Linked DNA regions of Canis lupus familiaris. The protein of the gene in region 1 purifies or fractionates together with the protein of each later gene. This does not show direct contact. Links are inferred from orthologs where the notes say so. Each region holds a gene or a part of one and is shown in the gene's direction. Other genes may lie near its edges.

Region 1 (4,486 bases):
TGTGGAGAGGTAGTCACTAGGGCAGATCCGCAGACTTACCTTGACCCTCCACCCCATCCCCTCAGTTTCCCAGCAGGGTCCAGCCCCTCTCCGCCAGTTTCCGGCAGGCACTGGGTGTCTGGATCTACTAGAGAGTGAAGCCTTCGCAGCCTGCAGAGACAGAACCCAGGCCCCAGTCTTCCCCCCCTTGGCTGTCCCCTCACCCCCCCACCAGACACGTTGTAGTCAAGAGAGAAGCAGAAGCCTCGACCCCTCACCCTGAGTGACCGGAAGCAGAAGACCACGGGGGTGTCCGAGGCGAGGACAAAAGGGAAGGTTGGGGAAGAAAGGAGGGATGATGCGTTTGGTCTCACTTTCCGACTGCGCTAACAGGGGCCTTCAGGGTCCCTGCCCGGGCTCCGATCCGGGCTCGCCGGATCCTTGCCTAGCACCAGGCGCTGGCTGGCCCAGCTGTGATTGGACAGGAGGACAGAGGGAGGAAAGAAGTGGTCTGCTTCTCACAGTTCCAGCACACTAAGAGTGTTTAAAAGACAAGGCCTTGTTTCGAGTTCCTGGCCCTCTCCTGGCCCATTCTCACCTGGGCCCTTCCCCCTTAGGCCCTGGCTCAAATGTGAGGGGGCTGTCCACGATGGCTAGTGGTGGAATGTCCCTGGGAGGTCCCACCATGGCCACCCTCCGCCTCTGGGACCCGATGGAAATTTCTTGGGTTCCCACTAGGAGATTGGGAGGAGATGTTCTCAGTGCTTCCCTCTGAGGAGTGAGGAGCATCATCACGGGACAAGGTGGTAGGAGGTAGGGTGGCTCCTGACCCCCAGCGAAGGACTCTAAGTGGCAGGGACTAGGCACAATCTTTCTGTGTGGTTGTCCTGTGCCCCCTGCCAGAAAGGAGAGGGTCAGGGAAACATCACCCCATGAGTTTCCTGGCCTGACCAGCAGAGCAGGACAGCAGGGTCACCTGGGGAATTAGTGGACACTCCTCGAAGCTGGTAGTCCAGGCAACTTGCGCCTTGTCTTATCTCTGGCCCAGTGATTTGGGGCAAACTGCCACCTTCTCTGAGCCTTAATGTCCCCATGTGTAACATATGGAGATCGACCAAGCCCATAGGCTCCCCAAAGCCCTCTTTGGGGTATCAAAAGAGGTTCTGGGCAGGTGCCAAGGAAAGACAGAGTAGGAGCAAAGCGGTCTGGGGCGGCCAGACGCGAGCCAGACGAGGCTCCTCTCCCTGGGCGAGGCTCTTTGAGGAACCGAGAGTTGCTGGGACGGAGCCCGCGGGGAGAGAGCAAATAGAGCGGCGCTCCCCTCCCCCGACCCCGGCCCTTTGTCCGGGATCCAGCTGTGCCCCGCGGGGGAGGAGCGGGCTCGCGTGGCGCGGCCCCCTGGCCCCGGCGCTGATTGGCCGGCCGCTCGGGCAGCAACGGGGCAGGCACGCTCCGGGCCCCGGCCGAGCAGATAAAGCGTGCCAAGGGGCACACGACTGGCGGCTCGGAAAATCCGAATGGTCTCGCAGCCGCGCCAAAGACAGCCACGGTGGCCCGGGACCCCTTTGCGTTTGGCTTCTCCAGGGCTGTGGAAACGTCCAGGCAGCGGCACCTGCGTCTGCGCTGCGCTTGCAGACGGAAAGGCCGGCTCATCCTAACCATTGATCTCGCTGCCCCCTTCTCTCCCCTTTTGCGCGCGCGAACAAGGTAACACCTGGAGGCGACAGAGCGACGGGTGGAGGGGGAAAGGGGTCCTCTGATCCGGCGGGACGGGGGCGGGGTGGCTCTTTCTCTACCCCCCACCCCCCACCCCCTCTTGGCCCCGGGATAGGGAACTGCGCCCCGGTGGCCGACCCACGCTTACTGCGACCTTTTACCCTGCCGCAGGATGGCGCCTCATCCCTCGGGTGCGCCAACTGTCCAAGGGACCTACGAGACTGAGCGGTCCTTCCCGGGCGCCTCGGACGACGAAGGGGCCTGCGTTGCGTCCGCTCCGCCCAGCCCCGCTCGCTCGCGGGGCAACGGCGCCGAGGAGGAAGGGGGCGGCTGCCGAGGGGCCTCGAGGAAGCTCCGGACCAGGCGCGGCGGGCGCAGCCGGCCCAAGAGCGAGCTGGCTCTGAGCAAGCAGCGACGCAGCCGGCGCAAGAAGGCCAACGACCGCGAGCGCAATCGAATGCACAACCTCAACTCGGCGCTGGACGCGCTTCGCGGTGTCCTGCCCACCTTTCCGGACGATGCCAAGCTGACCAAGATCGAGACGCTACGCTTCGCGCACAACTACATCTGGGCGCTGACGCAGGCGCTGCGCATAGCGGACCACAGCCTCTACGGGCTGGAGGCGCCCGCGCTGCCCTGCGGGGAGCTGGGCAGCCAGGACGGCGGCTCCCCGGGAGACTGGGGCTCCCTCTACTCCCCGGTCTCCCAGGCGGGCAGCCTGAGCCCCGCCGCCTCGCTGGAGGAGCGTCCCGGGCTGCAGGCCCCTGCCTCCCCTGCCAGTCTGCGCCCCGGCGCCCTCGCTTTTTCAGACTTCCTATGAAGGGGCCTGTCGGCCACTGGGCGGTGGGTGCTTGGGACAGAGGGAGGGGGCGGAGGCCGTCAGGGACACCGCGCTGCGGCGGCCCTGGTGCGAACTTGCTCCTCCAGGCTCGGGCTCGCTAACACCCGGTGAACCCCGGGCGCCCACGAGGGTGACAGGCTGCATTCCATCCCCATCCTCCGCGCCGCGCCAACTCCAGCCCTCTGGTGCTGCCCGCGCAGGCCAGCATTGCAGCCTCCGCACGTCCCCCTCCCTGCAGCCACCCTACCCTCATTCATGCAAAGACGAAGTCTCATGCAAAGAAGAAGAGGATGCTAGCTCTACGCACGCAGCCCGAGACACCCCCTGTCTCCAGCCACCCTACCCTCACTCAAGTCTGTGGGTCTGTCTCTTACCAATCCTCCACCAATGTGATTTAACTCAGTATTTGATCTTTCACCGTTTGCTTTCTTCTCCAAAGACGCAGCGGACCTTCTTCTCCTCCAGTCCCTATCAAGTCCTGGTTTCTGGCTGCTTCGCTGCCTTAATCCAGGAAGGTGATCCTCTGCCTTCTCTCGTGCACTTTTGGGAGCCATTGCCCTCCCGAGGGGAGGGAGACCAGGCTGTGAACTGGGAAAGAGATTGTCCGCCTGGGGAACTCTCCCGCTGCGACCTGAAGCGCCCTTCTTTTAAAAAGAAAAAAAAAGAAAAAGAAAAAGAAGAAAAAGAAAAAATCAGACTGTAAATTATATGATATCTTTTGAAGTGAATTTTGGTATGGTATATTATATGCCTCCCCTCCCTCCTTTACACGTTTGTATTTATTGATGAGATTTCACAGCAGGGGGGAAAGTCTATTTTTTGTACATAAGATTATTTAGAGACTGGTGAATGAGATTTTGAGCCAATAAAAAAAGTACCCTCAAGAAGCCTCAGTTAGGTAACTCGACTATGCAGAGGGGAGGGTCACAGCCCCCTGGCTGGGGCAGTGGTAGGCCTCAGTCCAAGGAGAAATATGAAACATTCTGGGGGGTCTGAGCCCCTTCTCTGACTTGAGCTAAGAGGCTGTGGCCCTAGGCTGGAAGCAGAGCAGGTAGTGTCCTCAGGGCAAGTCAGCTAAACCTGTATGGAAAGTAAGAGCTGGAGGGCTCTTAAGAAAACATTGGTCCAGTTCCCAATTTTATTTATAGGGCAGTGAACTGTCATATTCCAAAGAGTGGTTTAGGTGAAAGACAAGTCTCCAACTAGGGATACTTGCTGGCGCTGCTGACCCTTGCCCCTACACCACTAGCCTGGACTTAGAGTGACTAGTGCATTTGGGGAGGAAGAGTAGTAGCCTGACCACAGGGTCAGAGCCCTCAGAAACACTGAAAGTTGACTGGGCATCCCAGGAATGTTCCCAGGGTGCTTAGAGGGCTAGCATGTTTTCTAAGCACATTTTATGCAGCCGGTTCTGGGTGTCCTGACGTGTGGCTTTGAGCAGCGGGAAGCAGAGAGTGGAGAGTCCCGCTGAAATCTCTGGCACCCAGGACACCTGGCAGTCTTGATCGAAAACTTAGCAAGAATGTGTTCAAGCCACTCATTACTCCCAAGGTAGAGGTGGGGTGCACGGCAGGGACTGAAACTATTAGAGCACCCCTACATGGCCTGCAGGACCCCTAGACCTCCAGGGAAGCCAGTGGAGCCCTAAGAATCCGCAGAGCCCGCCTGGCACTCGGAACAGGAAAATGGAGGGTGGGGACCCTACCCTGTGAATTGAACCCCAGAGACCTCCTGGGATTGGCTGCAGGAAGGAGCCAGCCAACCCCAGTGGGGCATGGCACCCTCATGGCCCACCCAGAGCCAGTCTGTAGGTGGGTTTCCAGTTAGAACGCAAAGGTCTTAGCAGGAGTTAATGCCTCTTGAGTCTCTCTTTTGCCCTGCCATGGAACTTTTCTTCTCTATTCCCAGTAAAGGTAGCTCTGAGGAAGTATGTCTCAGTTACCAGGGGCT
Region 2 (4,497 bases), on another chromosome or scaffold:
GGACAGGTACTGGGGGAGGCAGAGGGTGAGTTTCCTCTGGGAAGCCCTCGACTCTGAGTTTGACAACAGCCAGGCCTCAGGTTTCCAGAGTCTTCTTCAGTGTATGAAAATCCTCTTAAAAAAAATTTTTTTTAAAAGATTTTATTTATTCATGAGAGACAGAGACACAGAGGGAGAAGCAGACTCCCTGCGGGGAGCCCTATGTAAGACTCAATCCAAGGACCCCAGGATCACACCCTGAGCCACAGGCAGACACTCAACCACTGAGCCACCCAGGTGCCCCTATCCTCTTAAATCTTCCCTAACCCTTACTTCCCCAAGCCCTGGAGTGGCTGCATGCCTTCTGCCCCAGGCTCCTGGCCCTGGGCTAAATGAAACCACCACTTAGCTCCAAGATGCCCAGGACCCAACCAAACCACACGGAGACATTCCAAATAACTCCACCAGAGACGACCCCAGGGGCAGCCCCACACAGGAAACTAAAGGATTTGCAGCAAAGGAGGAGGAAGGAAATAACTTCCAAAGCCGTGACTGTCAAGCAGAGGCGAGCAGGTTATTAAGGGTGAGGGATGAATATCCAGGGAGAGCAGCTGTGTTCCCTGCGCAGGGGCGTCCATCAGGTTGCTCAGGTACAAGGTTGAAAACACCTTTACCTGCGCCCTGTCAGGGCAATGAGGCCCCTGCTCCCCCCGGGGGAGACCTTAACCTTGTGAGGGTGGGGCCAGGGGAAGGGGCGATTAGCGCCTCCCCCCCCCCTCCCCCGGGCCACGGGCTGGGGTCTTGGGCTCATCTCCGATGGGAACACCCGCCTTGCTCTTGGACCAGCCCTGGGACTTGTACCGCGAGGTTGAAGTCTGGGATGCGGTTCGGCCGCCCACGTAGTTCTGCATTCCCTTTTATTCCTTAAAATCCGTAACGACTAAGGCTTTTGCATCTGCGATTCTGACACCGCCTTAGGAGGTTCTTCGAGGAGCTGCTAGGAGTAGGGTGTGGGTGCCAAGAACAGCTGGAGGCCCCAAGTGACCTCTCCGGGGCCTTAAGAGCTCTCTTTTTCTGGGCCCCTCCCTCCTCCTCCCAGCTTCCTGGTCCCAGAACAATGCAAAGTCTTGGGAACTGGGTGCACGCTGGTGGGGGGGAGGGGCACACGCTGGGGGCCGTGTGTGTGCGCGTGCCGGGGCTGTGCATGCTGGGGAGGTGCACACAGGTGGTGTGCACGCCGGGGTGGTGTCCACGCTTGGTAAGGGTGGCGGGAATTCAGAGGGCCGGCCCCGGAGCGGAGCTACCCTCGGGGCTCGGGGTCCCGCGGGGAGACCCGGCGCCGGCGGCCCCGCTGACCTCGGCGGCCCCAGCAGAGGGCGCTGCCAGCCCGACGCCCCGGGCCGGCACTGCACAGGCGCGGAAGCGCTCCCGGGGAGGAGCGGGACTTCCGGCGGCGCGCGAGCCGGGATCCGGGCCTGGTTCGTCCTTCGCGCCCGCACGTGCGTTGCCGCGATGCTACCGCTGCTGCGCCGAGTGCCCCGCGCCCTGGGCTCGGCGGTCGCCGGGCTCCGCGCCGCCCCCGCCCTGCCGCCTCCGACCCTGCTGCGGCCCGCGCCCCGGCCGTGCGTGCGGCCCTTCGGGCTCCTCCCTGTGCGCGCGGGCCTCCTGCGCTCCCGCGGGCCCTGCGGCTGCGGCTGCGGCTGCGGCGGGCTGCACACCCAGGGTGAGGCTGGGGCGCGGCGGGGGCGGTGGTCCGGGGAGCCGCGGCCAGGGGGGCGGGGGCCCAAGGCCCCAAACTCACGACCCCCTGCAGTGGACGACTCCAGGTTAATCCCACGTGGCTTGAGGTTTCCTGCCTTAATCCCGAGAGTGGTGGCTCCCTGGCTGGCGGTGATGCTTCTAAACCCCGGCAGCCGGCTCTATCCTGAGCCTCGGAGGTGGATTCGGGGAGGCGGCTGGTCAGAGTTAAAAGCAGGGGAGGTCGTGTGTGGTCTGGGGCGGGTAACGGGAATCGCCTGGCTTCGCTGTGAAATGCGGTGATGGGCTCGTTGCTGGAAGTCATTTTTCCAGAATTGAGCTCAGCCTCCTGCCACGGGTGTCCAGCCCGTTTCCAGGTTGGGAACCGAGGCCCCGTGGGTCTGACTCCGTGCCCAGAGCCTCCGTAACAGCACAAGCATCAGAATCGGTCGAGGCCAGGTTTCCCACAGCAATCACCCCAAGTCGTTTGTTGGTTTAAGACTGACTGGTTTTTCTTTTTCTGTATCTTATGGGTTTTCATTGCAGGGGACAAAGCTTTCGTCGAGTTCCTGAATGATGAGATTAAGGAGGAAAAGAAAATACAGAAGCACAAGTCCCTCCCCAAAATGTCTGGGGGCTGGGAGCTAGACATGAATGGGACGGAGGCCAAGTTAGTGCGGAAAGTAGCTGGAGAAAAGTAAGTGTGGGCTGCAGGGGGTCCCTCTGACCCGGCGCAGCCTCCCCGATCTTCCAGGGATGCCTTAGAGCAGGTCCCCGGACACATGATTTCCAGGTGCCTCATTCACTGCACGCAGATTGGCTGAGCGTGGATTTATTAAGGAAGGAAGGATGTCCTGGTAAGGAAGGCCCTGCCTGACCCAGGCACGCATATCAGAAAGTCTTCTTAAGATTTCATTTACTATTATTATAATTTTTTAAGATTTTATTTATGCATGAGAGACATAGAGAGAGGCAGAGACACAGGCAGAGGGAGAAGCAGCCTCCATGCAGGGAGCCCAACATGGGACTTGATCCCAGGTCCCCAGGATCCCCTCCGGCTGAAGGTGGCGCTAAACTGCTGAGCCACCAGGGCTGCCCTATTTTTGAGAGAGAGAGCACGCACATGGGCAGAGGGAGAAGCAGGCTCTCCTCCTGAGCAGGGTGCCCTATGGGAGCTGGAGCTCGACCCCAGGACCCTGGGATCACCACCAGAGCCAACCCCAGACCCTTCACCAACCAAGCCACAGAGGTGCCCCCGACTGAGATTTGTGCAGTTCTGACGGATTGGGTGCCGCCTCTGCAGTGCAGGGTTCTGGCCGAGGGAAACCCGGCCCTCCCCCTGACATTTGACGTTTACAGTGGGGAGAACCAGCCTGTGGCCCCCATGTGCGTGGATGAAGCCACATGTGCTTAGTGTCCCCGTTAGAAAGGTACAGAACTTTCCATTTGCTTCACCTCTTCACCATCCCTTTTTTGAGTAAAGTTCTGAGATGTTGTGAACTGGGATCTGATTCTTTCTTTGCCTTTATTTGCCATGTTTTTTTTTCCTGCATAACTTCCCCTAAACCATTTTCTGAGGGTAACGTGTAGCCAGTGGAGTAAATATAATGTTCTAGTGAATAGAGCGGCACCTCTGTGCCCAGGTGCTCAGTGTGGTCAGCACCGCGGCACATTAGATAGGTTTTGTAGCTGAATGTGACACCAGCATCCCTGTACGGGAGCAACTCCAAGCACACCGGCAGGGGGGTCCCGAGTACACCCACGGAGTGGGGGAGCTGGCACCTACCTGCGCTGGGCACTCAGACTCGGAGCACAATTTGTCAGGGGAGGGTTCTGTAGCGGAAGACTGTCATGAGGTGGGTGTTTCCAGGCTGCTTCCTCACGATATGGAACTTCCCACAAGTATTTTAAAGAATGGATTTAGGGGGGGCGGGGGCTCAGTGGTTGAGCATCTGTCTTTGGCTCAGGTCGTGATCTCAGGGTCCTGGGATCGAGTTCCAGGTCGGGCTTTCTACTCAGCAGGGTATCTGCTTCTCCCTCTGCCCCTCCCACTGTTCGTGCTCTCTCAAATAAATATATTTTTAAAAACAGCTCTGGCAGCTGTGTTGACGGGGAGCCCCCTCCCCGGGGCCTATCCTGGCCCTCTCATAGCAGCACCCTTGTGTGCCTCTCTTCCCCTGTCCCTCTGGGCAGATCTCATGGAGTAAAGTTCTTACGAGAGGCTACCTGCTGTCCCAGCACCCTCTGCTGCTCACTGCCACCGAATGGCTGGTGGCCAGGAGCCCTGGGTTGGCAGGGTGGGGGGGCAGTTAGTAACCCACTGCGTCTGCACGTGGCGGAGACAAGGAGATAAAGTGGGGCCTGTGGGTTTATTTTTTATTTTTTTTTTAAGATTTTATTTATTTATTCATGAGAATACACAGAGAGGAGAGAGAGAAGCAGAGACACAGGCAGAGGGAGAAGCAGGCTCCATGCAGGGAGCCCAATGTGGGACTCGATCCCAGGTCTCCAGGATCACACCCAGGGCTGCAGACAGCACCAAACCACTGAACCACCAGGGCTGCCCGGCCTGTGGGTTTAAATCTGGCAGCCCTGGAAACATGGTTTCCGCCCCATGTGTAAGTGCAACTGTAGCAGCGCCGCCTCTGCTGGACAGAGCCACAGCCCTGACCTCTCTTCCACTGGCAGGATCACCGTCACTTTCAACATCAACAACAGCATCCCGCCGACGTTTGAGGGGGAGGAGGAGCCGGCCCAGGGGCAGAAGGCGGATGAGCAGGA

Evidence for each region.
Region 2: the proteins of NEUROG3 (region 1) and C1QBP purify together in Homo sapiens (affinity purification with mass spectrometry; 3 studies listed by BioGRID and IntAct, counting the BioPlex papers as one, with this or other methods). This does not show direct contact. The link is inferred for Canis lupus familiaris from reciprocal best matches to the Homo sapiens genes NEUROG3 and C1QBP.

Annotation. Positions count from the first base shown.
Region 1 is NC_049225.1:21,374,170-21,378,655, reverse strand, and holds NEUROG3 (neurogenin-3), read left to right. Parts: upstream 1-1,476; 5' UTR 1,477-1,686; intron 1,687-1,866; 5' UTR 1,867-1,867; coding exon 1,868-2,515; 3' UTR 2,516-4,412; downstream 4,413-4,486. UniProt on the Homo sapiens protein: Acts as a transcriptional regulator. Together with NKX2-2, initiates transcriptional activation of NEUROD1. Involved in neurogenesis. Also required for the specification of a common precursor of the 4 pancreatic endocrine cell types.
Region 2 is NC_049226.1:31,558,802-31,563,298, forward strand, and holds the start of C1QBP (complement component 1 Q subcomponent-binding protein, mitochondrial), read left to right. Parts: upstream 1-1,407; 5' UTR 1,408-1,491; coding exon 1,492-1,702; intron 1,703-2,262; coding exon 2,263-2,413; intron 2,414-4,404; coding exon 4,405-4,497.